4 linked regions of the Arabidopsis thaliana genome follow. The protein of the gene in region 2 interacts with the protein of the main gene of each other region in a pairwise test. Each region holds a gene or a part of one and is shown on either strand. Other genes may lie near its edges. The genes, in order: AT2G25730, AT4G35110, AT1G03140 and WAVH2.

Evidence for each region.
Region 1: the proteins of AT4G35110 (region 2) and AT2G25730 interact in a two-hybrid assay, tested with the Arabidopsis thaliana proteins (one large-scale study listed by BioGRID).
Region 3: the proteins of AT4G35110 (region 2) and AT1G03140 interact in a two-hybrid assay, tested with the Arabidopsis thaliana proteins (one large-scale study listed by BioGRID).
Region 4: the proteins of AT4G35110 (region 2) and WAVH2 interact in a two-hybrid assay, tested with the Arabidopsis thaliana proteins (one large-scale study listed by BioGRID).

The regions. Positions count from the first base shown.
Region 1 is NC_003071.7:10,967,893-10,976,029, forward strand, and holds the start of AT2G25730 (zinc finger FYVE domain protein), read right to left. Parts: upstream 5,060-8,137; 5' UTR 4,838-5,059; coding exon 4,011-4,837; intron 3,857-4,010; coding exon 3,712-3,856; intron 3,302-3,711; coding exon 3,023-3,301; intron 2,890-3,022; coding exon 2,722-2,889; intron 2,627-2,721; coding exon 2,417-2,626; intron 1,509-2,416; coding exon 1,414-1,508; intron 1,187-1,413; coding exon 1,012-1,186; intron 775-1,011; coding exon 353-774; intron 1-352. Other genes in the region: AT2G25735 (uncharacterized protein), read right to left, coding at 7,453-7,812.
Region 2 is NC_003075.7:16,710,174-16,717,986, forward strand, and holds AT4G35110 (phospholipase-like protein (PEARLI 4) family protein), read right to left. Parts: upstream 4,619-7,813; 5' UTR 4,144-4,618; coding exon of another isoform or gene 4,130-4,143; 5' UTR 4,053-4,129; coding exon 4,030-4,052; exon of another isoform or gene 3,837-4,029; coding exon 3,691-3,836; intron 3,611-3,690; coding exon 3,315-3,610; intron 3,228-3,314; coding exon 2,487-3,227; 3' UTR 2,242-2,486; downstream 1-2,241. Other genes in the region: AT4G35120 (Galactose oxidase/kelch repeat superfamily protein), read left to right, coding at 6,633-7,465, 7,508-7,813.
Region 3 is NC_003070.9:753,761-761,327, reverse strand, and holds AT1G03140 (splicing factor Prp18 family protein), read left to right. Parts: upstream 1-5,024; 5' UTR 5,025-5,104; coding exon 5,105-5,947; intron 5,948-6,437; coding exon 6,438-6,857; 3' UTR 6,858-7,067; downstream 7,068-7,567. Other genes in the region: FZL (FZO-like protein), read right to left, coding at 1-7; AT1G03150 (Acyl-CoA N-acyltransferases (NAT) superfamily protein), read right to left, coding at 2,887-2,978, 3,069-3,129, 3,322-3,391, 3,642-3,774, 4,593-4,683, 4,790-4,867; PSAD-2 (photosystem I subunit D-2), read left to right, coding at 7,186-7,567.
Region 4 is NC_003076.8:26,257,455-26,266,052, reverse strand, and holds WAVH2 (Zinc finger (C3HC4-type RING finger) family protein), read right to left. Parts: upstream 4,918-8,598; 5' UTR 4,582-4,917; coding exon 4,180-4,581; intron 4,101-4,179; coding exon 2,349-4,100; 3' UTR 1,883-2,348; downstream 1-1,882. UniProt on the Arabidopsis thaliana protein: Probable E3 ubiquitin-protein ligase involved in the regulation of root growth. Acts as a positive regulator of root gravitropism.

The sequences.
Region 1 (8,137 bases), on a different chromosome or scaffold from region 2:
AACCCTTGTTCTTTAGCAACATATGTAGGTGATAAAAACTGCAGATATCAGCTCAGCTTCTTACTATAAAAAAAGAAACTTCACCACAGACCTCTAACTTTTCAGCCCTCTTAACCATACAGGTTACAAATGCACACTGGCTCTAGATAAAATAGTTCAGGCAACTTGATAATCATTTAATTAGTAACCCAAAATCCCCAAAAAAACAAACAGATTGATATTTTAACGTTTCCCTACATACAGAGATCATTCTGAATTTTGGACTTCGATTTGGTTACCTAAAGGTGGCTAGCAGCTTTTCCCTGATGACTGAAATATAAATTACCAAAAATTAAAAGATAATTTAACTCACAGATTAAGCAGTTTTTCAGGGGCTGCCCTTAGAATACTCAAAACCTCCTTTAAACCCCACTGGCGTTCAGAAAGTGGCAGAAGATGCTGCATAACAGATAATCGCCATTCACAATCTTCAATGAAACGCTTAGCCATGGATACTCTCCATTCTAAAGCCTGTCTTCCATCAGTACTGTAATTACCATCCAGCTGACACTCTTGTTCAATTGGATGTGATGGAAGATTGCGGCGTAAAACATCGAGTAGCTGTTTTGTGAAAGAAATAACAATTTCCTTTTCCCCTTCTGTACCAAGATCGCCAGGATCCAAACCAGGTGTGTTACTTTTTTCAGAAAAACATGCCGAGGAGGCACTTTGCGTAGAACTGAGACGGATATCATCAATATGTAAGAGTGAAATAACTATGTTCACCATCATTATCTGCAAACAAAAGAGAACTCATGTTAAAAACATGTAAACTGTAACGTATTGCAAAAATATAATGTTTGATAGAAATAACACTGCGTGATGATGTAGTATGAGGCACACCATATATTTATCATTTTTATTCAAAGTAAATAGTAACGCACTTCTACTTTTTTCAATATGGTGTTACAACCAAATTGATGAGAAAAGCCCAGATTCTTGTAAATTAATCAATGTATATATGTATACTACCTTGCGTGGAACATTTTTAATGGCCTCCAAATGGTTAGTGAGGTCTTTTAAATGGTAAAATACTACTCGATGACTAGCATCTGTCTCATCCTTCATAGCCTCTTCCATTGCACCTAGTGCTAAAACGATTGCCTCCAGAGCATAACGCATATGCATCAGTTCAATATCTTCTATCCTACAGTATACGAAGACATAAAAGTGAAACCGCAACGATTCACCTCAGAAAAATAAAAATCAAAAGAGCTTTAAGAATGCACAAAACATTTCACAAAAACAAGAGGGCTATTGCAAAAATTGTTGTGAGGGGTTAGGTGCTAAAATCTAAACACAGATACATCTATCCAAGAAAGTAAAGAGACAACTGATCAAAGTATTTGTATATATATATTTTATTGAACTGACCTCTTCCAGGCTTCTGCAGTTGAAGCAATAGGTTGCATACTAATCAGTGAAATAGCATCTTGGAATTTTATGCCCGGAACAACGTCAAACAATACCTACATAATTGTATGCAGTTAAAACTTGTTCGGATTAAGAGCACCAAGAAAACATTCGGATTAAGAGCACCAATATCACTTAACCTAACAGAAACAATTTTACATGATCATACTAGGAAAAAATCACATGCCACTGCTAGTGCATAATATACCAGTACCTCGTTGACAAAGTTTGTCATAGCTTGGCAAAAACTGAAAGAATTAACAGAGAGGTTTAAAGGGAAGAGGAAAGAGGCAAACTCATAAATAGTAATTTGAAATACTAAGTGCCAAAGCAAACTCATCTATCCAGTGGAAAGATTTCAAAAAACATTTAGATTTATATAGTATGAAATTGATGGCAATGTCAGTGTCCTTCACAGTGACAAGGTTCATTATTTCAAAATACAGTACTAAAAGTTATTATGGCATAATGAAAAGTGCTGTATTATTCAGGAAAAAAGATGTATATTCTTTCATTCCTCCAAGAGCTCAGGACACCTAGAATACCAGAAGCTATCAAAAATTCATTTTATATGATCCAAGGAAACTTGCTAACTATAACAATGTGATAAACGAAACAGATATCTTTTAACCCAAAAAAAATATATATATATTTATCCAAAATTGACTTAAAATCCCACTGTACTCTTATTGTTGATTAGTACTCCTGATAAACCATAGTAACATATGCTACAATATCCTCGTGTTATCTATTCCTCTTCTTATTTAACTATACGTATTCCCTAGGAAGACAACATTCCTAATGTAAGCAAATATATCTAGCCAACATGATATATAATGAAATTTTCCACTGACAATACTAAATTTAATTATAGCTTAGAGAAATTTATTTGTACATATTCTTCCAGAACACTTTTCCTGTGGGGGATTAGTCTATGTAGAAAGGATGTTTAAGAATGTCCTACCCGAAGTGGACTTTGCGCTGAAAGCCTTTCCAATACAAGATTTTCAACAAAAGGATCCACCTCCGCATCATCATGCGCGGATGACACATTACCATGCATCAAGAAAGATGCCTTTGGAGTCCATGATTTACCAGAATTGACACAAGCAGCGAAAGATGCAAGTTCCAGCTGATAACATAACGTATCGCAGAGGTGTTCCACACAAGATTTCTGCCCAGATCATTGTGTCCTGTTAGACTTTCACTGTCATCTTCTAAAAATAATAGATCCAAATAGTAGTTTATGTGAAGGAAAAAAAAAGTTACTTCATCTGTCTGGTTTCCATAAAGAGAAGATTCTTCTAGCCGAAGTGCTTGCGAGTCACTAGTCCAAAGTAGCCGCATCAATTTTCTACGGGTTGCAGTTTTGCCCGGCAATAGATCCCAACCCATGGAGGCTACTAAAGGGCGAAGTCGGGGAAACAAAGTAAGAACCTGAAACATATGAGCAGAAGAGGGATTCAGATCCCAATAGAAAAAGGGAAGTCAAATGGGGTAGCAGCCAATCAACAATACTGCAGTAAGATAATGAGTACGAAGATATGTAACTTTATTCTATTCCACCTACATCATTAGCCTCCTGAAGCTTCTCTTTCTTTACAGAAGACAAAGCAGCACACATCACACACTCAAGAACATGTGATCCAGAAATACGAGCATAATGATACATATCTCTGAGACAAGAATTAATTGCCCTGCTCATAGGAGAACTTTTGTCCTCTATATTTCTCTCAGTTTTCAAGTCTACAAGATATCGCCGGAAACATTCAAGAGGGAGTGGAATTTGTTCATTGTCGAGAGATAAATGTAGTTGGCTATGTGGGAGGAGCATATCATCTTGAATACCCTGCCGAGGAAAACGTTGTAATCAGATAACAGCTTATAGTACAAGATAACTTACTCAAAGCCACACATACACATATTTCAATATCCACATATAAGCAAACCCATCAACTCAGACCAACCACTGAACTCAACTATCACCAGTGTAAATATTCACAAAGTATATAGAAGAAAAATGCCAACTGGCTATACCAGCTTCAAATTCCAGTATAATCAAGATTGACAAAACGGTTCTAAGTTCTTAATCGCAACAAATATAAGCTATACTACATTTACATATTAGCAGGTTCCGTAAACCACTTGTTCTTTTCTCAGTTCAGCAATATGTACCAAAAATAGTTGTATCTTACATGTGAAACCTTGTTTTTAATGAGAACGATCCATTATATCAGCTTTTATAAAAAAATTACCAACCTGGATCATCTGAACAAGATCTCCACAATTCGATGAGAGAGCTTCTTTATACATAAACAGCAAGTTCTGGCGCACCATGTGCCAGGAATCACCATATTCATCCTTTTTCTCCATAACTCTTGAAAGGAGAGCTTTTAGAACAGCACTATCATAAATAAGAAAACAGAATAATTGAAGTAAGTTCTCTATTCTTAAATATGCAAGAAACAAATGCTAAGGAACAGGAAGACAAATTGAAGCAGGAAATAGAACGGAATAAACTCATGTATTTGCGGAATGTATATAAATCAAGCACTTACTGATAGTTCTCTTTCTCTACTCCATAATCAAGGTGAAGATAACGAATGCGATCAGCTGCCCCGCGCTCATCACCTTCATCCAACTTTGTTTTCATAGCATCCAACTGTGCTAACTGAACATTCCTCTGTATCAAAGCAAACACATTGATGTTATCCAGCTCCGGAGAACCAATACATGTGGCCTCATTCATCTCCTTTCTCTGTTCTTCTCCCTGAACTTCCTCAACCAAACATGTACCGTAACTCTCGCAACCCGCAAGTTGCCTCTGAATATTACAACATAAAGCATCGAAAACATCAGAGTAATCCAATACTATACTCCTCAAAGACACAACTGCATCTTCCTCAATCTTATTACTTCCTTCACTACTACTAGTATCAACAACAAACTTCAACCTCTCAACACCTAACTCCAAAACACCTTGCAACACCCTTAAACAATTCCCTAATCCAGAATTTTCATCCTCACTCTCCTCATCTTCCTTAATCCTCTCTGTAACTCTATCGATCAAAACCTGAACCATCAACAAGAAATCGGCACGCAAACTTAGAGTTTCTGAATCAAATCCCCAAGGAGAAGTAGGATTTTCGAATCTCAGAAGCTCAATCGTGGAGAGGAACGAGAGAAGAGACGGGGAAGGACAAGAGCGTGACCAGAGGACATTATCGAATCTTCCAGCGTTGGAGACGATGGTTTGGAGAATGGTGAGTGCGAGGTCAGGGTTACGAACCCTGAGAGCGAGTAACGTAGCCTTCAATGGCTCGAATTGAGCCAGATGAAGGTGGTTCGCCGCGAGACGGGAGAGAATCTCCGTCTCTTTATCCATCGCCGTCACAAATTCCGATCACTGAGCTAATACATACCGATTAATCTGAAAATTATTTGCTCTGAAATTTTCCGTACAATCTGAAATATCTTGGCTGGATTTTTCAGATATTTTTTGTGAAGAATTTTTGGTCTGGAATCGTCAACTTAGCTGAGACGAGCAGAGCAGACCATTAAGGCTGGGACAGGGAAGCAAATGGGTTAACCCGATTGATTAAATTCGTTTCGGTTCTGACTTGTTAACCAATGGTTTTGCTTTTTATTTTATTTTTTGTCTTTGCTGACAAAAAAAGTGTGAAAAACAATTAAGATTTTAGACAAAAAAAAAAAACAAAAGCAATTAAGGTTCCAGTAGGTTTACATGTATAATGGCGGAATAATGTTTTCTTAGACTATCTACAATGGCTTATTGAAAAAATTTATTCAATAGTTGAATGATTACAATGGGGTATTGAATAAAGAAATGAATCCTATGTGGATTAAATAGTGTTGAATCTATTCAACAATGTTGAATCTTTAAAAATGGATCCTTCATTGCCACTTGTCATTAAATAATTGGAGACAGAAATTGTGGGGGAGAGTTAAATAAAGATAGGACATGTGTTGTTCTTTTATTTGCTACTGAAATTTCTTATATTTTATTTTCCTCTGAATTATTGGAGATCAATTATCTTATAAAATATTTATTTGTTTTAAATTATTTTTATACTAAAATTCATCATTTTCCAAACTTTATAAATAGAGACTTGTTTCATTTTATTTGGACACAGAAAAAATTACATCTATTTTCACTAAAAAAAATCCATTAGCCGATAAAACATAAAAGAAAACATCCCAACAATAACTCATTTAACACCCAAAATTCTATTAATTATCCATTTAAAACATAAAAGAAAAGAAAAATAATGAAAAAAAAATTTGTGGGGTAGGGTGTTGAATTTTATTAAACAAACCATTGTAGAGTATAAAATTTGAGTGGGTATTGAATTATTATGTGGAAGAGAGAGGAAATGATGTGGAAGAAAGAGAAGATGATGTGGAGGATGTTGAATCGAAAAACCATTGTTGATAGATTATGCGAATATGCAAAAGTTTTACCAATTAAGAAAATATGCATAATGTTTACCGAAACATCAAAACACAAAATAAATGAGTATATAATTGCTGAATTTATAATGCGATTTTTTATTTTACGAATTTCAGTATGCGAATTTTTTTATTCTTCTACTTTTTTTTATGCGAATTCTTCTACTTACGTTATTATGTGATGTTATCAATACGAACCTAAACTTTGGAGGCTCATTTCCACAGTCATCTTCATGGAGAAGACGTGCATCAATAGGCTCTAATGTAAGTCCAAGTACTGAAGATGATATCACTTCGGTAAGTCCCACGGTACTTTGATGATTGGTGAATCATCAAAGCTCAAATTCCATCATGAATAACATAGATAGCTAGAAAAAAACAAAAGGTTCACGATGTAAAGAAATAAGATACTCTGAAATCTCCCAAGAAAAAGTAGTATCACTCTATTAACCTTCGTCAAGAAGTTTTAGGATCCTACATTTGGTAATTGCAGGTTAAGAAAGGGGTGTGGAATAATAATCTGGAACAACTTTTAGCTTTTGTTTTTAATTCTCTGTTTCTAATTTATGGTTTGTTTCGCTTAGATTTGTCTAATAGTTCTTTATAAAATGTTTTCCCTTGTGTCTGTTTTTACTAGCTTTGTTGTTGTAACTTTTCTTTGGTTGGTTTAGTCTTCCGTATTGTTTGTAATGACATTTTGATCATTAATATAAATTCATCAATTGACCTATAATAAAAATATTCCACTACGTACTCATCAATACAAAGGAACAATGCAATTCATTATTCAATCAAAGGAATAATGAAAAACAAAACTCTTAAACCAAAAGGTGAAAAACAAAACCAAAATCTAACAATCAAAAATGTGATAGTCTTCCTCTAGTGTCCATTGTTCAAGATGCACACGTTCGGTCTCAATTGTTCTTCGAGTATACTATGCATAGTTGCTGCATAAAGGCATCAAAGTTCTACTGATTGCCCAAGACAGAAAGGAGTGTCAAGAAGCCTAGTTTGGTATAAAGGTTTCCTACTTTATTCAATAGTAGGCCATGCCTTATATATACATGAGATGAGATTAAACCTAAGCACTTACATATAAATTACACAATTGTAGTTAGACTATATAATATTTGCACATATGACTTACACAATTGTACTTAGACTATAGTATAATATTTGCACATATTGTGTATTATGAATCATTAATGATTTATAAATTGTAATGCTTAGGAAGTAGATTAATGTGAAATTAAGGTCCATCTTATTACTATAAAGTTTTTCAATATTTTCTTTTAAAAAAACGAAAGCAAATATAGTAGACAAAATGATTTTACAGAAGTAGAGAAACCCGGAAAGGAAGAGTGACTGAGAAGTAATGAGACATACTATAATTTATGACCTCCCACTAGAACAAATAAAATTAACTCAATGATCCTAACTTTTCTTTTCATTTGTTTACAATGCTAAGCCACATAATCTCATCATTTAAAAGAAGGTCTAAAGAAACCGAAGGAGAAAAGAAAAGTAAACTTAATACAAGAGAAAGCGTGTTTCTCGGATCCGTGTGGGATCAGCGAAGCGACAGGAGAAAGACCGTGAAAGATTCTCAGGCTCATCGTGGTCGTGCCATCCTGGACCTTGATCAAAATTCAAAGAGTAATCACAAGGCTCATAAGCCACGACCTTAGTGGAAGAAGCACGAGAAGGCAAGAGCTTAAGCTTCATCAACAAAACCTTCCATTTGGGCAAGAGCCTTTCTCTTCGTTGGTGTTGCTTCTGTTCTCTGCAACTCTTGCTATATCTTCCAAGTACAATTGTCTCTCTGTGAGATGAAGCTGATGATAACACGTTAACGTTCCATCTCTTTTTGCTTGAAGATTCTAACATCATTTCTTCCTTCTGTTCTGTTCTGTCTTTGTTTTGTTGGTTGAATATTTCGTCTTGTGTCTTTGTGAATATCTTAGCTGTGTTATTTATATTTTGTAGTAGATGGATGGATAAGGAGACGTAAAACTGAGACTAATTCAAAGTCAGCTTTGAAAGGCTTGTGAAACTGCGTTAGCCAACTTGTATGAATAATTAATTGGTGAAAGGGAGCATTTTAAATGCCGGTATCTAATCTGACTACTGAACTACAAAACAATAGTCAAAGTAGACGTTGTTTTGTCTTTAAATCTGACTTCGTTTTGCTGGTGACAACTAAATATACAATTAG
Region 2 (7,813 bases):
TTCATGTCAGTTCGTAAATATCGAACAATCCAAGTTGGAATTTATTATTCACAACATCACAAGATCCTTCAATGTACATTATTACAGCTAGCGTCCAATTAAGATACAAATTTCGGCTGAACATGGTGTGTGGGTCTTTTGGTTATTATCCTCGTGTCGACTCTAAACCATCGGGTCATATGTAAACCATTCATTAATTGACACGTGTTGAGAAGGAAATATTGGATTCCATTTGCTATGTGGTTACATTTTCGTTAGTTGACAAGAAAACAACTATTTTCGCTCCATTTGCTTTAGTCTTTTTTTTCGATGTTACTTGTTAGAATTAGTATTGTTTTTAAAAGAAAAAGAACTCGTGCGAGTACCTTTTGTTGTTTTTGTGAAAGGATAAAAAGGAGTGGAGCCAATAGAGTTGTAACAACCAGACAAGAAACGAGACATTAAACCCATTTTTTCCACCGCACTCTAACTTTTCTTAGGCCGCGTGTCGCGTAGCTCATGTGTTTATCACATGGGTAACTTTTCTGCGTCTAGTTACCGTATTGTTATTGTTATTGTTATATAGTAGACTCCTTTTGGCTAAGAGTCTTTAGACCCACCCAAACGCATATGTGTTTGGATGTATTAGGAAATTATTTGTATAAAAGACTTTACCAACTTAATTGAATAATGCATTTGATTAAAGAGAGAAAAAAAAAAGAAAATGCTCATGGAAGCAATAAGCACTAAATTTGTCTATGGGATGTAAATTGCGACAGTGAGAGTTGGCTTTAAAATAGTATGAATACAAATACGAATTTGTCTACATGGAATAGTAGTAATAATTCACGTCTCGTCTTTTCAGAAAAGTGAATGCAGAGGAGACAGAGAGAGAGAGAAGGACCACAACGATGGCCTTCACGCTTTTACTGGTTAATACGCCTAGTGTCTCAGTTTTAATTTTAAATACTTAGCCGTTATGATCGATTCTTCGTTATCTCTTCTTAGCTTCAATATGGTCCACTCATTTTGAACTTTGTAAACCCTAGCAGCTTATGAAGTATGAACCATCATATAGTTGGGCCTTAAATTTTGTTTTATAATAGCTATTGCTTTATTGGTTCTGGATAATAGCAATTTTGCAAGTTGCAAAATACCTTATGTGACCGGCCGGTTCACCCCTCTGCTTATCCCTAAACCGATTTACTTTAACCGATCTGATGCTGTATAGCTAAAAACATAAACTTGAAACAGACAGCAGCTGAGTGTGAAACTTAGTTGTCTGTCCATTTTTTTGAAAGAAATGATGTCATAATATGTTGACAAAAAACATCTTCAACTTTGGATATAAATCACTAATTCAGACTTTTTAAAAGTTGCGAACTTTTTTAATCATTCCATGTTACGGATTATTTTTTATGTGTCTGGAAAAATTGGCTGTCAAGGTGATTTCACGTGATAACTAATTTGTTTTTTTGAGGTCATTTGCCATCTTGTGAAAGCCTTTGGAGCCTACTTAAAGATTTTATTTTATTTTTTCTAGTAAAGACGATTGAAGTAACTGCTGTCTATTAGTTAAGATCTGAATCTCCAATGAGGTTATTTATAATTACTTACTCACATTGTGCAACAAAACCAAGCACAATTTGTGGTCCACAAACCTTTATCTGGAGGTTTCTGGTTCAACTTCTCCGGTTTACACTTAAATCTTCGTTTCGTGAGCAAACCCAACGGGGAGCTTCCCGTTGGGCCATGTTTCAGTGGGCTCGGTGTAAAGCCGACATGAGTAACTGAAGCCCAGTAGCATTGTCGCAAATAACAGATTGATTTGTCCGTTGCAAACGGTTTAAAAGCAGAGTACGATACTTTGTTACTTTTAAAAATATCAAATCTAACAATTATGTAACAAAATCAACTAGTGAATAACATAAAAACATAAGATATATTTGGCTTTAAAATCCCCTAAAAATCATCGTTATGGAATAACATCTACTTTTCGACAAAAACAAAGTAACAAAAAAATCGAAGAGTAGAGCTCAAATTGAGTGTAATAAAGAATGAACTCAACAAAATTATTCATTCCTTTATTTTGCAAAAGTGTTGTTTTGACATTTTCTATACACATATTTAAAAGAACTATACTATACAATATTCAACAAGTTCTGCTATAACTAACACAATAAATATAGTTGTGAATTTAATTTTTAATAAACAATCTTTCGTTTTCCAAACTCGAAGGCAACTTGTAATCTTTCCCATTATAGAAAACGAAAGAAACCAAAAAAAAAAAAACATAACCAAAGAAAAATGCATCACACAAATCAAAACGTATTTATTAGCAACAACCAAATATCTTAATATTTTTTATAAGTTACCAATAAATACCAGCTTTCCCATAATACTTAAAAACCCTAACCTTAAAAACTCATTTATTAGAGCATTTTTGATTTTGTGCTATTACCTACTACCCTTGGCTTACTACTAACAACATCACACACAACTCAAACTCACAGAAGCTCATCTATAAACGATTTCCCTTTAAATTTCTCCATTTTGAATCCCATTTTCTCCATCCTCAACCGTTCTGCTTCGATCTCAACCATCTGAGCCCGCGTCTCCTCAATCCGCCGCTTCACTTCCACCACTTCCTTCTCCATCCTAACCAAATCCGTTTCTTGAGCCTCAAGCTCTTCTCTCTTAGCCTTCACTAAACCATCATGCCTCTCTTTCTCATTTTCTACATCTTCTTGAGACTGCGCAAACTCTTCAAGAACAGAACGTAGCCAAGCTACTTCAATGTTCACAGACTCCAAGTCTTTGAGAACCGCAAGCATCTCTTTGACCTTGACTTTGCTCAACTGCCCTACCGGGGTTGACCTAAGTTCCTGCATCAGTGAGCATAAACACTCGAGGTAACGTGATCGCATTGAATCCGATTCCAGCTTACAGTTTTGAGCAATGTCTCCGTGCTTTTCGATGACAGCACTTAGTATAGTGGATGAACCCGATCTGACTCGGTATTTCCCGACAGAGACAAAAGTGTCAGACATTACTGATTCGAGATCGAGCTCTACACCAATCTCATTGTTGTTTTCGTCATCATCATCAGAAAAATCATCATTGCTCTCTTTTCCAGGCGATCTTGGAAGGCTTAGGAAACTAAAGAGTCTAGTTTCGCCGCCTTCTCCAATCTTCCCATTGTGTTCTTGTATTCCCGGTTTAGGTGATACCACTTTGCTTTGATCAACCTTCATAAGATACAAGAATCTTGATGTTTACAAATATGGTAAAGATATGGTGGTCGAAATCATGGAAGAGAGTAAAGGATGAGATACCAAATTGTTTGATGAAAGGGGAATGGTTTGAGAAGGTTTCTTCTCTGGTTTATGGTTGAAGAAATCATCCGGATCACCGGATGATGAAGAAGTGAAAGAATTTTTCGTTTCAGAAACAATCTTCTTCTTCACGGAAGCAGGTGGAGCTACAGAATGATGAACCTTTGGGGAATTACCATTTGCAAAACCGCCTCTGCCGTTTTGATAAGGCCTTGCGGATAGCGGTGTAGGCGGTTGTGAATTCGACTCCTTCTTTTTCCTACCGAAACTCCCTGAGAAGCTAAGAAGCCTTGAACCTGTAACATAACAGAACAAGAATCAGAATCCATAAAGGAAAAGTTTTTAAAATGGCAAAATCAAAAGCAGAAAAAAGTACTTTGCTTCTTAGTGTTCTTCTTGACATGGCCTTGAGCAATTTTCTCTAAACAAGCTGAAGCACATTCATGGAAAGGATTATCCGCATATACGCAATCTGGATGAGCTTTTCTATTGAAATCCATAGCTTTTTGATGAATGGAACAACTGCAACAAAATCAAGATAACTAATCAGCTCAAAGAAGACAAACTCAAAGAACAACACAAGAACTTCAAATTTGTGGTGTCAAAGGACTGAACATATCACATTAAGGGTAAGTAAGTGGTCAAACCTTTACACCTTAATTTCAACAAATAGTTCAAAAAGATTAGACACTAAAAACTTATAATATACAACAACCTCCCAACGAAATTGGATTCCATTCATATTTCACCAACCCTTTATATGATGAAAGAAAAAAAGTAAAGAGGGAGATTGTGAGAAGCAGAGAGAGATTCACCAAAACATATCCATAAAGAAATTTCTTACGAGTAATAGTGAAATTGATCCCCACAAAACCAATCAAATCATAAAATGTATAGGTATAGAGAGATACAAAAAGACGACTTTTGGTTTGTTTCTTCTCCTTAATACTTTCATGGACCGACCATGCAATTTCCAAGTACAATTTTCCAGTGAGATACTAAATTTCAACGGTGGAAGCACTCAGTTATTGACTTAGACCAGAGTTAAAAGGTAGATTATTTTGACCGGCTTGTTTTCTTGAACAGACAAAAACTTCCAAGGCCCACCCTTGTGGATAATATTTTTTTAATAGGTTGAAATTTCGTTTTCCATGATTGTCGTTTGTCACAAAATTTCCTTAGAACAGAGCAAAGAAACAGAGCATATGACAATAAAACAGTATCAATCAGTTTCATCATCGATCATTGAATTAATTCTTAAAACAAAAGCAAACCCACGATTCTGATCGAGATCAAGAATCTATTTGTGGATCAAAGAACCAAACTTTTAATTCACACAAAAATGCAATCAATCAACAAACAGAGAAATAAAGAGAAAGAGAGAGAGAGATATACCAGGAGAATCGGAAGAGGGAGAGAAATGTGATGAGCGGAGAAAAATGAATAAAATGTTGATTTTTATTTTTGTTTATAAGGTATAACAGTTGTGTATATTATAAGGTTCATGTGACATTGTCTTTGGTATAATAATAATATGATGATGATGATGAATTGACCAAAGCCAATATTACCAATTGAAGATAGAGAGAAGCATTTAATTGAAAAGAGGTTGGAAACGGCAATCAATCACACACCTCACTTATCTTCCAGAAGTGGACAACAACGTGGGACGGTTATACAAATACGAGTGAGATTTTTAGAGTCGACGAGAATCGAAAGTAGAAATCTGTAACCACTTAAAGGAAAAGAAATTTAAGAGACAAAAATAAAGAAAGAAAGTTGTCAGTTAAAACGCGTTATTGCGTGTCATTGTTTGCATCACACGTGAGGTTCTTAAGAATCTCAAGTTCTTAACCATATTGCTATATCTCTTGTCTAATTTTATGCATAGAAGTTATCTTTTTTTTTGCTGTCCATTATTACTTAACCAATAAAACTTAGACATCTTTCAATTAATAAATATAGATAATATAAAGTTATGTTTACATTGGATCTCTTAGTATTTTTTCTAATTGTTGTTGCAGATAAGTATAAATCAAATCAAATATATAAATATCATTACTTGCGAATAAGTGTTGATACCAAATTTTCTGATAATATTATGGAGATTGCTTAGGTAAAACATATTTTTATGATTCAATCCGAAGGAAGGAAATTTTCTACCCGATTTGTCAAAGTGCATGCATGTTGATCCGATAGGAAACAACATTTATTATAGAATCTGATAAAAGCATCTTTTTGTTATTAATTGTGTCATCTTTCGTAAGTCGTAATTTTAGTATTAGTACAATATAGTTTCGAAATGCGAGTAGCTTATCCAGAAGCGATAAATGACCATTTCCCCAAAAATACTTTCATCCTTTTTTGTTGGGGGTCAGACTTCATATCATGAAGAAGAAGAAGAAGAAATACATAGAGTCAACTCTAGAGCGTTGGCTTTTAAAAAGACATGAAAAGATTTTGTTAATACTATAATGCACATTCTTTAAATAAATCATTTAGCAAACTACTCTAATACGACCATTCTTTTTCATTCATGCAACATGTCTTTTTCTTTCCCTGTTGTTCTCTAATTTTATTTTACTCTTCATTCATTTGTCTTCGTTGGTGTTTCTTTTTTCTCTTTTTTTTTTCCAGAAAATTAGATATTTATGACCAAATCCATATTTTTCTAATAAAAAATAGAAATATTGTCAGTATACCTGCACAATCGTGTGAACGAGTCACCTGAAACATGATAAATTCTTCTTTCCCCTAAAGCTTACTCGTGTCTCCATCAAGAAATCTTCCAAGAAAGAGACTAGTTTAGTGCATTGTTAGAGAAGTCTCAAATCCTATGACTATGAATCATCAAGCAAGTTACATTGTGTAAGTGTATCTTTCTGTCTTTCATTTTTTTTTTGTGTATACATGTACATTTGAAGGTATACCAAAATCAAGGGAGGGATCTTAAAAAAAGTTTGAAAGCAGCATAGAAAAGTTCTTTATACGATAAATCCATAGATTTTCTTATACGAATTTGGTGAGTTCGGTTTAAAAAACTGAACACCGAAATTCCAGTAACACAACATAATGTATATATAACGATGTGTTGTTAATTGTTATCGTTTTTAATATTACTTTAGTTTTCAAACCGGTTTTAACAGGGTTCAATACTGAAATCTGTTTTAAAAACGGGCGATTTGGTATTTTATTTTAATTCAGGGGACTTGTTCATTAATTTTAACTAAGGAGAAAATATTTCCTTTTTACTATTGTCTTATATAAGACCTAATTTGAGACCTAAAACCTGAGCTTAGTAAACACGGTATCGTTGCTATGGACACCGCCAAAGTAGAACCACCTCAGGAAACGAAGAAGACGATTCTCACAGCTCAAACTCCATTATCTATGTCGATTTCATCACTTCCAGATGAAATCGTTTTAAGTTTCTTAGCCCTGATCTCTAAATCGTACTACCGTTCCCTCTCTTTAGTCTCCAAAAGCTTTTACTCTCTTCTCTCTTCTACAGAGATCTACGCGGCCCGATCCCACATCGGAGCGACAGAGCCTTGCCCGTACGTGTGCCTGTGGTTACCCAAAAAACATCGCTGGTTCACCCTAGCCGAGATTGAGGGTAAACTAAGTTTAGAACCGGTAAGGCTCTCTTCCTCTTATCCTCGTACTCGAGTAAACTCAACCACTGTAGCTGCTGGTACCGAAATCTACAAAATCGGCGGAACTGTCAAGGGCAAGCGATCCAGAGCTGTTTTTGTACTTGATTGTTGGACTCACAGGTGGCGTCGTGCTCCTAACATGAGAGTGTCAAGGGTAGGCGCCAAGTCTTGTTTTTTAGACGGAAATATATATGTAATAGGAGGATGCAGAAAGAGTGAGGAAGAATCCATGAATTGTGGTGAAGTTTTCGACCTAAAGACTCAGACTTGGAATCCGCTGCCTAGCCCTAGTGTTAATTATGCCGTCCATTCGAATCACAAAGTTGCAGTTTCTGGAGAAAGGCTATACGTAATCACCAAGCGTAACAACTATGCATATGATCCGAATGAAGGAAGATGGCTACCAGACGTGGGGTCTGTGGATTTACAACCCATAACTGGACCTTGGTCCGGCGGTATAGAAAAAGTTATGAAACCTATAACTGGACGACCTTGGTGCGTTATAGGAAATATAATGTTTGCTGATCATGTGTGCAGGAAGTACACGTGGTATAGCTCAAGTCATCGAGCGTGGCAAAGAGTTATGGGTTTGGATGTTCTATACGATAAGCGTGGTTGTGGCTACCGTACGATTCAGTTAGTTAACTATGGTGGGAAACTGTTAATTATATGGAGCGAGTGGATCATGATTCTAGACGGGTATTCCCTTATTCGCAGCCAAGAGAAGGAAATTTGGTGTGCTGTGATTAGGTTGGAGGAGCGTATGTCTTATTTCGGACCCCAGATTTGGGGGGAGGTTGAGAGCTGCAATGTTGTTGTGCCTAGCGTCCCCAAGTCTTATCA
Region 3 (7,567 bases), on a different chromosome or scaffold from region 2:
TTCTCATGGAGAGAGAAAGAGAGAGAGTGAGATACCTTCGTCTGTGTTTCTGATTAGTTTTCTTATCTCTTAAATATCCTATTGGCCCATCCCAAAGCTATAAGACGGACGGCGCGATTAATTACTTTTCAAACACATGAATTAACGTTTTCACATATGTGTTCATATCCAAAAGGTCCAAAGTATACCACGAAAAGGGAGAAAAACAGATTTAAATTCGTGAAATCCCTCTCCCACAATTAAATTTACTTCTTCCAAACAAAGACAAACGGCTTGAACCAGTCAAGTAAGTGATACGGCACCACTAGATGTTCCAGAGCCTCCATCTTTTTTAATACGAAGAAGATTTGTCCTTTGTGTGTATGAATTTAACAAGTTTTAATTATAGATTTGTGTGTGTATGAATTTAAAAACCTAGTACGTAGCATCAGGGAATGATATCATAGCTATTTTAGTTGAGCTTTCAAATAAGAGATGATCAAAATTTAGAACTTCTAAGAACATGAACGAATAAACAACTATTTTCTTTTCAAACCAACTAAGGTAGATGGTCACTGAAAGTATATACATCAGATAAAAGTTGCTTGTTATTCCAGATGAAGTTGGACCGAGAAAAAAAAAAGTTACTTGTTATTCAATATGTTTGGATCTTTGTCTTGCAGATTGCTATATAGGGTTGATAATGGGCTTCGTTGTAATGGGTATACAGTGTATAAGAATCGGCCTTGTGCAACCAATCCTAATATGTGTGTCTCATTAAGGTAAGTGCTTAAGATTAGAAGAGTAAAACACTTGACTTATCAACTATGTCAACTAAGGGTTCTATATTTTTATTAAATAAAAAATAATTGAATATTTTTTAGAATGATTTAATAAATTTAATGCTATTGTTTGATTTAAATGTATAATTCACCGCGAGAAGAAATTTTATAACTCAAATTTTAAAGTTTTAAGTTGTATTTGTTTATTTTGTTAAATGTTTAATATTGTATAATTGTATTTTGATTGTTGTTTCTCGGATTTCACCCGTAGTACATCATCCCATATTAATATCGAATCAAACCCGTCAATTCTAAAATTTCACCCGTGGTAGTATTTAATTGTATAATTATATTTTAATTGTCATTCTAAGATTTCACTCCTAATTCTATCGCAAATTATTATCAACCCAAACCAGTCAATTCTAAAATATCACCCGTAGTACACCATCCCATATTAATATCGAATCAAGCCCGTCAATTCTAGGATTTCACCCGTGGTAGTATTTAATTGTATAATTATATTTTAATTGTCATTCTAGGATTTCACTCCTAATTCTATCGCAAATTATTATCAACCCAAACCAGTCAATTCTAAAATATCACCCGTAGTACACCATCCCATATTAATATCGATTCAAACTCGTCAATTCTAGGATTTCGCTCGTGGTAGTATTTAATTGTATAATTATATTTTAATTGTCATTTTAACTCCTAGTTCTATCGCAAATTCTTATCAACCCAAACAGTCAATTCTAAAATTTCACCCGTAGTATAAAGTTTAAATATTTATAATATTTAAATTTCTTATAAAAGAATCAAAATGTGTTTTAAAAAAATTAAAGTTTTAAGTTTTTTTTTTTTAATATTGTTAATTTTGTTTAGTGTTTAAGATTATATAATTACATTATGATTGTCATTATATGTTTTTCTCCATAGCATACTATCCCATGTTATTATCCACTCAAACCTGTCACACCATATAACCCCGTCCCGTGAAATTAAACACAAATTTGTCATTTTATTATAAATTTCAAATATTTATAAAATTAGAAACTTCAAAAAAGATTAATATTGACCCAAACTTCATCATTGAATTTTGAGTGTTATATCTAAGATTTCTCTCGCAATATATCGTCCCGTATTAATATCTTTTATATTGTTTAAATTTCTTGTAAAATTTAATTTATAATTTTTTAAACTTTTTAAAGTTTCAATTTTTTAAAATAAATAACCCTAGGAAACAAACCATTTTAATTTAAAGATAAACTTTATAAAAAGTTTTTAAAATTATAATATTTAACTTTTGATAAAGTTATAATATTTATAATTTCTTGAAACATTTTAAAGTTTCAATTCTTTAAAATAATAAATCCGAGTAAAATCAGATAACTATTTTAATTTTGGACGCTTGATAAATCAAGCTTCCTGCTCATTCGTAATCAGAATCATTTTGGTCCTTTTATAATATGGGTCTGAACCATTGTCCAATTTTTCTAAGCGATGTGGGACATTGTACACATATTATTTCTTCATAGGTTGAATAATATATGTCCGTTTAAAAAACTTTGAATTACATCATATTCAGAAAAAAATATAATATTTTATTAACTATATATATTTTATATAAATTCAAAATAAATAAAGTATAAGATCAAATAAAAATGAAAGAAGAATTATATATTTATGTTTAAATTAGGTAGAAATATTTTAGGAAATTGGTTAAGGTAAATAAGAAATATGGTTAGTTTAGAGATATTGTTTATATTAAATCATTAATTTTCGTTTTTAATTATTAGTTTTTAGGTAACTTTTCCAAAAATTAATGTTATCCAATATCAGAACAGAATTAAACATGTTATCCAGGATCCGAACAGAGTTAAACCGGGTAAAACCCAACCATTTGAATTAATTGTTGAATTATGGCTCAAATCTTCAACATTATCTTCAAAAATCTCCTCCAAAAATGTATATATAGATTAAAGTTTAATCAAAACTAATTATAAATTTGTGTGGAAGAAAACGAAACATAATAGTTCAAATACGAAACAACAGGAATAGTAACATCATCTAAAGGCTCTTGGAGAAATTTTTAATGCAGATAACAATTGTGAACCAAGTTAGGGTCTTAATCATACTCTAATTCATCAGGTGTGATAGGTCTCTTGAGAGGAATCACAGACTTTTTCTCTACATCTCTTGATAATGCCTTCCTCATATCTGTTTTTTTAGATCAAACGATTTAAGATTTAAACAAAAGAAAAAGTTAAGCGCGAATCATAGATAAAAAGAAGTTAATCAAAGCCTCACCTAATCCATCTTCCTCTCCTGAATAATAGCGTAAAACCCGCCTATAAATTATGTATCCAAGCTGCCAGAAAAAGGAGAAACGGTTTGTTTCATCAAAATGGCCATCAAGAAGAAGCCTATGAAGGAGATTTGACACTAATAAATGGAAATATGTAAAATGTGTGCATGTCCCATTTACAACTTCTTCTTTTTTTCCTACAATGTCATCAACATTATGAGGCTTCTAATCAATTTCATAATCCTAATATATTACCTTTTCATACATCTTGATGGCTGGTGTGTTGGAAGCTCTTACAAAAAGATCCACAAAGTAGGCTTTATCACTGCAATCAATAACCACAAGTATAATAATCATTAGAAGACCAGAAATTACCAGATAATATATAAAATCAATGAGGAGAAATTCAAGATTTTCTTCCTTTGAAACAATCTAAATATATCGGTTTTCAAATAAATAAATGGTCCACTCGAAAGCCAATATCAATATATTAAGGCTTTCATATTTTATATCATAACGATCCATATCAAAGAGAACACTAAAACTTGAGATGCTTTGTAATTGTTAAGTCTTACATCTTATCACTTATATCTTCCAGAAGGTTCATCAGTTTCTTTGCAAGTTGCTGCCTGCGGTATTCTGGAGAGACAGTGACGGCTGTCACATGACCATGCCAAGATTCACCCTGTCCTTCAACTTTACCCATAACTGAAACCATGTAGAATCTTAGTTAGACACATGCTTTTAAAATTATATTTATAAGAACAAGTTTTACATATGTCACTTACGTTGGATTCTCAAGAATATCAACCATAACATTTCAACTATACAAAAGAACATTTCAGTGACACTGCTTAATTTTCAAATGTGTTAATATCCAAAAGCTTAGTTTTACTCTCAGTTCTTTCAATGGTTTCACTATACTTCCAAGGTCTCTTTCCAAACTATACCACGAAAAGGGAGAAAAACAGGTATAGTAATAGGGCACCACGAGAACAGAACGTCAATAATGAAGCATATATCGTACTTGAAGAAAATAAAGAAAGATAAAGCCTTGTATAAATCACATTTCGAACCAATCCAATAAGGTATAGCATCATTATACTACAAACACTGAAAGACAGAAAAATTTGAGCCTTGATATAACTCATAACTCATTCTCTGGACATTTAGAAGTTAGCACAAACAATCTTAAGCCATGCTTCCTATGCATCTTCTACCCCATATCAAGATTTCTAAAACCGCTAACTACAGAGACTAGGACTAATACAAGCAGAATTTGTTTAAACACTTATACATCCTGGTTTGTGTTAATCAGTTTTCAAACAGAGTCACTCTTCCTGGTTTTAACAACATTCAAGCTATCTCCATCTGATAACCAAAAAAAATCAATAGTGGCTTTTACACTAACAGTTTATCATCTAAGTTTCAACCCTAAAAGTAAACATAATCTCCACGAATTTCAAATTCCTAAACCAACGAAGACATAAAGAAATCAAAACGAAGAGAACAAGAGGATTACTTACTATAACCCATGACACGATTGCCGGGACCTTCAGCAACATGAAAATAGTCAGGCCATCTCGCTAAATAGGTCATGTAGAAGGACATATTGAACTGTTTCACGAAACAAAATTCGAACAAAAATCAACAAAATCGCCATAGCAAAACAAAGCAATAATCAGACGAAACCAGATAATAAGAAGAAGAAACACGAGATTACTGTTTCAGTGAGGTGGTCCAGATTCACGGAAGTGAATCGGAGAAGGTCATTGCAGCTGAATCTACGTATCGTCGTCATCTCTTCTTTTTCTCAAATCCCTTCGAGCTTCGTCAGATTCTCTGGAAAAAGAAAGAGGAGACAACAACAAAGCAATATACATGGCCCAGTTAGAAAATTAATAAAGCCCATTTATATTTGGGCCTATAACACTGATGACGTCATGTAAAAGATGATCAAATTTCATTATCTCCCGTCGTCGCGACCTTCTCAGACAACAGAACCAAATCCTCGGCGGCGATTGAAGAAACCTTTCCGATGGATCTGCTCAGGGAAGAGATTCTGAAGAAACGTAAGAGTCTAGCTGAGGAATCTGGTGGTAAGAAGTTCTTCAAGCGGTCTGAGATCGAGCAGAAGAAAATCCAGAAGCTTCGAGAGGAAGAACGACGCGAGCACGAGCTTAAGGCTCAGCGGAGAGCCGCCGCCGCCGCTTCCGGTGGAGATGGAAAATCATCCGGCTCTGCTCCTGGTTCTTCTAACGCAGCTACGTCTGCGTCTTCCAAATCCTCTGCATCGGACGCTGCTGCTATCGCCGATTCAAAAGCCCTAACCGACGAAAACCTAATTCTCCCGAGGCAGGAAGTGATTCGTCGTTTGAGATTCCTTAAGCAGCCGATGACTCTCTTCGGAGAAGATGATCAATCGCGGCTCGATCGACTCAAGTACGTTTTGAAGGAAGGATTGTTCGAGGTTGATAGTGATATGACTGAAGGACAGACGAATGATTTCTTGCGTGACATCGCAGAGCTTAAGAAGAGGCAGAAGAGTGGTATGATGGGAGATAGGAAGAGGAAGAGTAGAGATGAGAGAGGAAGAGACGAAGGTGATAGAGGTGAAACAAGGGAAGATGAACTTAGTGGTGGTGAATCGAGTGATGTTGATGCTGATAAAGATATGAAACGTTTGAAAGCTAACTTTGAGGATCTATGCGATGAGGATAAGATCCTTGTGTTTTATAAGAAGCTGTTGATTGAATGGAAACAGGAGCTTGATGCGATGGAGAACACTGAGAGGAGAACTGCAAAAGGGAAACAGATGGTAGCCACTTTTAAGCAGTGTGCTAGGTATCTAGTTCCTCTCTTCAACTTATGCAGGAAGAAGGTAAAGATTCTTGCTTTCGATTGTTAATTAGGTGTAAATCATTGTTTGGCAAGAAAATTGTTAGGGAGATTATCTCTGTTTATGAAATTGGAGATAGATTATCTCAGTTCTATCTAATAAGCTTAGAGAACTATGTTTATTAAGCATAGTTTGGGTAGGAAGACCAATGTGCAGTGTTTAGGTTCCATTAGTTTGTGTACTTTTGATTATATGGCGACAAGGACGAGTTTTCTAATAAGTTCTAGTGCTAGGTAGACAATGAGAACGTAGAATAGCAAGTTGGAATCTGTATGCACCTTGAATTTGCCATTGAGGCCTCTGTTAGTTATCTCCATTTAGCTGAAGAAAAATAGGCTGGAATGTTGAATGCAGAAAAAGTTTCTCTCTTTCTGTCTTTGTCTTATAAGTGTTAAGAATGTATACTTTCTTACACTGAAATTTTATGAGGTTTCGTGAACTTGATCTTTCTAGTTATGGCTTAAAATTGCAGGGTTTACCAGCTGACATTCGTCAAGCTTTAATGGTGATGGTTAACCACTGCATAAAGCGAGACTACCTTGCTGCAATGGACCACTACATCAAACTAGCTATCGGGAACGCGCCATGGCCTATTGGAGTGACTATGGTTGGTATTCACGAACGTTCAGCTCGAGAGAAGATTTACACCAACAGTGTTGCTCACATCATGAACGATGAAACCACTCGCAAGTATCTTCAGTCAGTTAAAAGACTGATGACTTTCTGTCAAAGACGTTATCCAACTATGCCTTCTAAAGCCGTTGAGTTCAATAGCTTAGCCAACGGAAGCGACTTACAGTCTTTGCTAGCCGAAGAGAGATTCTTTGGTGGTAATCGTGAACAGGTCTCAGAGGAGAGACTCCGGCTCATGCCTTCTCAGAGCGAAAGCTAGTCTTACTGTGTTTTCTGCTTTGTTGTGTTTTTATTTTTGTATCAAAACGTTGACTCTGTATTATCGTCTATTTAAAACGTTGACCTGATTGTCTAGTCTTATGTGGCATGTGGGAAACATATCCAAACTCATAAAACGACATGGCCTAAAGATCTAGTAAGGGTAAGAGGAGAATCGAATCTTGGAACCTTATTGGTCCAAATGGTATGATCACCTTATCCCAAAATGTTCGATTCTCATCTACCCTCTCGTTGTCAGATTCTATTAAGCCATTTCATCTCTATCCATTTACTCCACAGAGAAAGATTCAGAGAAAACAGAAGAAACTATGGCAACTCAAGCCGCCGGAATCTTCAGCCCCGCCATAACAACCACTACTTCCGCCGTCAAGAAACTCCACCTCTTCTCATCAAGCCACCGTCCCAAGTCTCTCTCCTTCACCAAAACCGCCATCCGCGCCGAGAAAACAGAGTCCTCCTCTGCTGCCCCAGCCGTGAAAGAAGCTCCAGTTGGATTCACTCCCCCGCAGCTAGACCCAAACACACCATCACCAATCTTCGCCGGAAGCACAGGAGGTCTCCTCCGTAAAGCACAAGTAGAGGAATTTTACGTGATCACATGGAACTCACCGAAAGAACAAATCTTTGAGATGCCAACAGGAGGAGCTGCGATAATGAGAGAAGGACCGAATCTATTGAAACTGGCGAGGA
Region 4 (8,598 bases), on a different chromosome or scaffold from region 2:
TATAGATAGATTTGGAAATCTTATTAAGCATACTTTACGTGCACATGGGTGTGGATAACTTTGTATAATACTTGTCGTCGTATTCATGTCTTCACGTTTGTAATTAAGAAACAATTCCAATAACATTTCAAATAATACAGATTATACAGTCCGGTAATACTTTTAATATATGTAATTAAGAAACAGTTCCAATAACATTTCAACTAATACAGTCCGGTAATTCTTTTAAAATATGTTTGGATTATAAATATAGTGTGTCGTTTCCAAATATCTTATCCGTACAGCGTACAAACATAGTTTTTAAAGCACGTTTTTTGTTTTCCTAATCAAATTTCCCCACAGTAGTTTGACTTAGATTTTATATATATATTATAATGGTGTTAACAGTTTCAACACCATTATAATATTTTACTTTCTGACAAAAAAATAAATATATTTTTCTTCTTTAAAATAGTCCACCGCCAATGAAAACAAATGGATTAACGGAGTTTGTGTGGTTATTACGATAATGTATTATTTTGTATGGATGACATATACTCTGAATTTGATGTAAATATGTAATAGAAGATATTGGTGGTTGCAACTCTTGCAAATACAAAGTCATCAATAAAGACTGTTAGAATAACTTAAAAACTTAAAGATAATCCAATCTTGGCTGTACTAAATGGATGGTTACTTGAAAACTAGATAAAATTTAATTATAATTAACACTTTCACTTTTGACCAGAGAAGAAAATTAACAAATTTACAAAGCCAAGTGTCAGTATACTGATCTGGACCGTTGATTTTCAATGTTGACAGCTTTCGGACACATCACAACCACGTCATATGGGCTAATCTCTCTCTCTGCCGCAGTACCAGGACTTTTTAATTAACACGTTCACCTTTTCGGAGTTGACCAAACATTTTCGAAATTATTAAATCTCTCCTTAAATAACCCATTACATTATGTAAAAGATAACTTTGGTGATTAATAGATTCATAGATTTGTTTTAGAGTTACATTATTTGGGCCTAAGCCTATTTTACATGGACCTATGTTTGTAGAGTAAAGGTTGTTTTCGGTATCTTATTTTCGTCCCAGGCGCCAAAGGTAAATGCTTTATTAATTGGTTTACATTATTTTTGGAATTCTCAATGGGCTTTACAGTTGCCGATTGCACAAACTGTAGCCCAACTGTGACAAAATCTCCCAAAAGTTGGATCAGCCATTATAACTCCAAATAGTGTGTTATACCGGGTTATTCTGATTTTCACAGAGTTCATTAGTACAAGTAATTGTAACATCAATGAATGTAATGCACCTTGATTAGTATTTTTTTAAGTATGGTGCGTCAAACCGTTTGACCATATATAGTTCGAGATTCTTTCCCTTTCATTAGTTGACATTAACATTGTCCATATGCAATATGTAACTGCGTGATGAATGATAGCTTAGTTTTTTTTTTTGTGAAAAAATAATAGCTTAGTTTTTTTAGTTATGATTTGACCATATATATAGTTCGAGATTCTTCTGCCACTGATCATTTTAGTGAATCACATCGAGAAGTGGACCTTTGACAATAGTTAATCATTTCATCCATTTTAAAAGTATACAAAATCATTGCATTCAAAACAAATTGCAACTTGGCGCTAGCTACATATAATTAGTAAATGTCTTAATGATATAAAATGAATGAATTTAAGCGAGAAGAAAGCTTTGCAACGGCGCATGACCTGGTTTCTACCACGGTGCACCCACCAAACCATTCACCAACAACCAACAAAGACAATCCCCACGCACTATTCAAATCATTCAAACCCGGTGCCTTCTATAACAAAATAGGCTATAATGATGATCACATGACTAATCATGATCATTCATTTGGAAAGATATAATATATTATAGATCCTCTTAAGTTAAACGGCATATGATAATATAAACTTAACTTTTGATTTTGAAGTCCAGCATTACAAGCACACTCTCTAATCCACTATACCTCAACTTTTAATTCTATATAGTACACAAAAAAAGCAGACTTCATTTATTTGATCTACAACTTTTTTTAACTATTCAGTCATTAATTTGGAGTTTTTGAAGATTACAAAAAGGAAGAAGAAGATAAAAATGCTAAAAGACCAATTAATTCCTTCTAATGTAGGGTCTCAATCTCTCTGCAATACAAAAGGCCACACCCGTCGGCTACTGCTTGTCGCTATCATGCACCTATGTGGGTCTTTTTCTGAATAATCATACTTCTATTATTTATACCTTACTAAATTATTGCTTATCCTCCTTATATAAATTATGTACCATTATATATTCAAAAATCATTGAAATCGAATTTTCGAAAAAAAGGGAAATTAAAATTAAAATCTGGCGTTTTCCAAGCCGTGCATATCGCTGACTCGATTTAAATGCTTCCTCATAATAGCCACTTTAGCTAATTTCTCGGCGGCTCTCCAAGCCGAAGTAGGGGTAAGCTGCTCCGGTTTATCTTCAGTTCGGTTTAATATACTATTTCTCGGTTTAATCCGGCTAAGTTCATTTAGCTCAACCTCCAAACTCCTTAAACTATCATCCGAATGAGACGCATTGGACCGAGCCGTCGTTAGAACCTGATACGCTCCGGATAAATCCTCACGCTCGATAAGCCGGCGTGAATCCGCTACAGCGCGGCACATGGAGTGTAAATTTCTCAGCCGTTCGATGCTTGAAGATACATATCTGACGGATTGTGGCCGTGGGATCAAAAATCGTTTTTCTTTAGGACATGTCATTGGCTGATGTGTCATTTGGTCAACGATCGACGACTGTACGGACATTACTTGGTGGGAACCACTCGACGAAGTCGGCACTTTGAGCTCAACGAGAAACTCTCTCTCCTCCTCCGCAAACAAATCTCCGACTTGGATGACAGAACCGGATCCGAAATTCTCGAGTCGACCGGTTAAAGAGTAAACCGATGAAATCTCAGTCAAATGAGATCCGTTGACCAAACTGAGATTTAGCTTCACGTTATGGAGAGTCACGTTGAGCAACGAAGCGATTCTTTCGGTGAACGCGTCTCGTAGCGGCGCGTGAAGCAACGCTCCAGGAGAAGCAATGTAAACGGAATGAACCGGGATCTCCGGACGAGAGAAACGCGTGGTAGACACGACGAACGGAATGCGCGTTGCGTTTAGTTTAGCTTTCAAAACTGCCTCCGGTTGATCTTGACCGTCCGATAAAACAAAGATGCTCGTTGACGGATTCTTCTCCCGCCGATCTTCAACGACTTTAACCGCTTTCTTCAACGCGTCGTTAACGCTCATTCCAACTCCGCCGGTGGTTTCCATTCCGCCGAGTGCGTCGACCATTCGCCGCGCCGATCGTCTTCCTTTCGCCGTCATTCGTCGTAACGGCATTAACCGTTTTGACCCCGTCGAGAAAACGACGATCGATAAACGATCCATTTCTCGGAGAAGAGAGATCACCGATCTCATCGCGTGTTTAACCGTTTGCAAATTAGCACCGCCGTTGCTTAAATCGAGAACCGTTACCAGATCTATCGATGGTCTTCGCGCCTTAATCGCATCGGTGATGGACGACGGCGACGGAGACGCTTTTAGTTTCATGATGACGACGTGTGTCTCCTTCTTTTTCCCGGTTTCCACAACGGCAGATTCCGGCAGCAACTTAACCTCCAGATTTCCTGAGATTGAAGGAACCATATCAGACGTAATCGAAGAATCTCGGAAGAATCCGGGGAAGTCATCGTCATCTTCAACGTCGTCGTTTTCGTCTGATTCATGTATAGTGTTGATCTGAGCAAGAGAAACCGGCGAATAAGCTAACGGCTCATCGTCGTTGTACACTCTCAGTGACTTCCCCGTTTTGATCTCTCGGATCTCGGGTCGTCTAATCGGGTCGGATCCGAAGTTATTATTAACAGCCGGATAATTCGACTTTGGCGCGTGATTCCATGCGGCAGAGCAAAACGGACAACGCTTGTCTTCTAATCCATTGACGCAAGAAAGGTGAAACGAATGTGAACACTCCGCCGTGAAAATTGCCGCCGTCGAGTTGCTTTGATTTGAATTCACTCTCTGCAAACAAATCGCACATCTACTACTATTACTCTGCATCCACACACACACAAAACGGAGCTTTAGATTATGTCTTTCAAATTAAGAACTTGATTGAATCAAAAGTAACTACCTTGTTGAGAAGAAGCGTGGCACGGAGGAGAGAGACGCCGCCGCCGCCTTGAGAGGAAGAAGAAGATGATGATTTAGGAGAAGAAGGGTTAGAGAAAAACTTGGGACTTGAGCTGTTACTAGTCCTTGGAGTAGCATTGCTCGTAGTCCTGCAATGGAGTTTGGGACTAGTTGGAAGAGATGGGATAGTGACTGATGTGGAAGCTGAGGAGCGGCATCCAGTGCCGCTTCCGCCGCGTGATCGGAGACGAGGAGTTGAAGGGTTGGATAAAAAACCAAACTTTGATCGGAATCTTGGTGTGGGAATTGGAGGATCAGTAGTGTGTAATGATGAATGTTGTTGAGGTTTATCTTGATTACTTGAAACGGAAGTGCAAAACGCTTTTCTCCAACCAAACACCATTTCCTGTGAGAAAGAAATAAGAAGAGAAGCTCTCTTTTTTTCTATATTATTCTTCTTCTTCTTCTTCTTCTATTTGTGGAAGTAATTATAGAGAAGAAGAAGAAGGACTTTGGGCATAATGGATCATAAGGAAGATGGAGAAATTAAATACTAAGATAAAGACTATAGAGAGATTTCTTTTTCTTTAGTGATGTTTCGATAAAGACATTTTTTTTTATGTTATTTTAAGTTGTAGGAATATTATAAGGTAAAAATTGTGACTTTTATGCGTGTGAATTGGCTTTTGTTTCCATTTGCATGTAATTGTTTTGCCTCGAAGAAAATAATCACTGATCCGTTAAGTCCTTCTTTTTTTTGGGTCAATTTTGCTATTTTTTTTACATATTTCAAGTGTTGTTTCATTGGGATGGACGATAAAGTTAAAAGTCAACGGTAATAACCGACCATATGCAAAATGAGATTTCAAATAACTTGAGACGCGGAGATCTTTGTTTTCCATTTGCATGTAAAATCTTTCTTTTCAAAATATTAAACAGTTTATTAGATTGTCTAATGTGGATTCCTCTTGAATGTTCCACAATGTGGTTCGATTATATAAATCATTTCCAATCTTATCGGATTCTTCGAAATGCAGATTGTGATGGAGTGTAAGGTCAAACATGTGGGCACGTGACGTTACAGTCTGAGCAATAAACGGTAAGCTTATTTTCCTTACGAAATATAAATGATACTAAAACACGTTGTATTCGAGTTATCTTCATGATTGTGAATTGAGTTGTATATTTAATTGATAGTTGCTTACGTAATTACATACTGGCTGGAGCGAGGAATTTAACCTAAAGTTTTGGGTTTGGAATTTTGTAAAAGGTCTTTGATGGAGAAAGGTCGAAAAGTTTTTTTTTTTCATTTATTTACCAACAAAATGATTTATAATATATGGTGACGACAAGAGCTAATGATATGACATAAAGATTAGACTGGTCCAGGTCCAGCAAATTTTGAATTCTTCTTGCTATTGCAAAAAAATTGATGGTTTTGGTCTGATTTTGATTTCGACACTTCTATTATTTTGATTTGACAACCTTTTAGATTGGCTGATCAAGTGCTCGAGATAATTAGTGTCCTAAATCAAAGGTATTAACTCCAAAATACAAATTACTGCAATTTGTGGCCTCTAGTATCTTGCAGTTATGCTGAAGAGCCACATGAATGAATGAAACAATAAATGGGTGGGTACATATATGATAAGGGGGCTGCTAAACAAAATTGTAGTTAAGCATTTGTAAATGGTTTGGTAGGTTTTTTAAGTGGCTGCCATTGTAGAGACAACACATGACTTCGTGCGTGCATGCCATGGAATCATTGATTATCAACCAAAAAATGAAAATATTAGTTAGTTAATCTTGTTAAGAATGTAATGACTTATATTATACGAATAGCTTTACACAAGTATATATACAAGTACAGAGGAGGTTACACTAGGGTTGTACAAATATAGAATGTTCCATAAAGGAGACAGAGGAATATTATGATATTAAAGAGAGATGATCCTATGTATCCTTAACACGCCCCCTCAAGATGGAGGGGCTATGCACACTCCAATCTTGTCTCGAAGTTCCGTGAAGTGATTTCGAGGAAGCGGTTTTGTTAATGCATCAGCGAGTTGGTCTCTAGTGTTGACGTGAGCCACACGAAGAATGCCTTGCTGAACTTGTCCACGAATAAAGTGATAGTCTATGGCTATGTGCTTCATCCTGGAATGGAAAACCGGGTTTGCGCAAAGGAAAGTAGCACCCACATTATCACAATAGACCACAGGCGGTTTGGGAAGTGTGATCCCAAGCTCCGTGAGAAGGCTGCATATCCACTGGATTTCACAAGCAGTATTTGCCACCGATCGATATTCAGCTTCTGTTGAAGACCTTGCAACGCTCTTTTGTTTCTTGGCAGTCCATGAGATTGGATTTTTCCCGAGGTAAACGATGTAAGCATTTGTTGAAACGCAATCTTCTGAGTCTCCGGCCCAATCTGCATCTGAAAAGGCATGAAGGGAGAGCTCGTTTTGAGCAGCAAAGAAAATGTCGTGAGTCGTAGTTCCAGCCAAATATCTAAGAACTCGTTTTGCAGCTTGCCAATGATCATTGGTTGGTCTGTGCATAAACTGAGAGAGGCGGTTTACAGCATATGCAATATCAAGTCTTGTGAATGCAAGATACTGCAAACTTCCAACAAGCTTTCTATACTCAGTAGGGTCGGAGAGAGTTATACCAGACATGAGTGTGAGTTTAGGAGATGATGCCATTGGTGTTCCTACTGGTTTGGCGTTAATCATGTTGTAGCGTTGAAGTAGATCAAGAATGTACTTTCGCTGCGAAAGATGTAAGCCCTTAGACGTCCGATGATCTTCTAGACCAAGAAAATAGTTGAGATCTTCAGGGTCTTTGATGGAGAAGCGAGCTGCGAGTGCATCAAGAACTTGTTGAATGCTTCCTTTGTGACTACCCATGATTAGTATATCGTCGACATACACCAATAGATAGACAAATTATTTGCCACGTTGCAGAATAAACAGAGAAGTGTCAGCCAACGAGTTTTGAAATCCCAAGGTGAGGAGATAAGTCTTCAATTCCGTATACCAAGCACGCGGAGCCTGTTTTAACCCGTAAATCGCTTTACGTAGTCGACAAACGAATGATGGATTGTCGGGATCAATAAACCCAGGAGGTTGCTCCATGTAAACTTCTTCTTTCAAGGTGCCTTGAAGAAAGGCGTTGTTGACGTCTAATTGTCGGATTGGCCACGATCGGGTTACCGCAACATCAAGAACAAGACGTAAGGTGGTCGACTTGATCACAGGACTGAAAGTGTCTGTATAATCACGGCCAAGTTGTTGATTATACCCTTTTGCCACAAACCTTGATTTGCACCTGCCAAGAGAACCATTAGGGAGAAATTTGTTTTTAAATACCCATTTACAACCAACAATGTTCTTATTAGGCTCTTGATACCATGTTAAGAATGTAATGACTTATATTATACGAATAGCTTTACACAAGTATATATACAAGTACAGAGGAGGCTACACTAGGGTTGTACAAATATAGAATGTTCCATAAAGGAGATAGAGGAATATTATGATATTAAAGAGAGATGATCCTATGTATCCTTAACAAATCTAGTTTAGTTGGATTTGATTTAACATTTGAAAAACTTGTATACCAACTTAATTCGAAAACTGTATGGAAGATTTTGAATGTCCTAACACAATCACAATTATTGTATATATATACTTGGTCTGTCCGGACAAAACTGCTAATCAAACCTTTCAAAGAAAAAAAGGAAAAACCAAAAAAAAAAGAACTTAACTAAACAATAAATCAATAATAATGCTGATACGATATATTTTGTCCATATATATGAGATCGTAAATCTCTCCCATGACTGATAACTGATAAGAAATCTATGGATACCATCAATTCGGTGGGTTTGTTGAAGGTCTACCAAATCGAAGAAACACACATTCATTCTCGTAATCGTACGTATATTCATTTATCTAGCTTCTTTTATTTGAATTTTTACGCAATATGCAATTCGATTCGTAGACTCAGTTGAATATAATTGACCTAATACCTAATGCTTATAACTAAATATTATAGATACTATTCTTGAATGCAACATTGAGATGATCAAATCATTTACATTTACAATCTTATTTTTCTCGTTTGATGAAGAAATAATTTTGGGGAACAACCATATATAGATGAGTGATAAAGGTATTGCCACGTTCCATTACTGAGAAGCATAATTCAATTCATATCTTTTGGAGACAAATTCGACATGTCATTCCCTAAGTCTATTTCATATATTTAATTTTAAAAACATTGAATATTACTATATAGTTTATCAACTTATATGGATGTATATAGTATGTCCCATTCGAATAAGTGCATCAAAGCGAAACGAATTAAATGAGATTCACGACCAATGATTGTTGTTTATGTGTATACTATTAAGTTC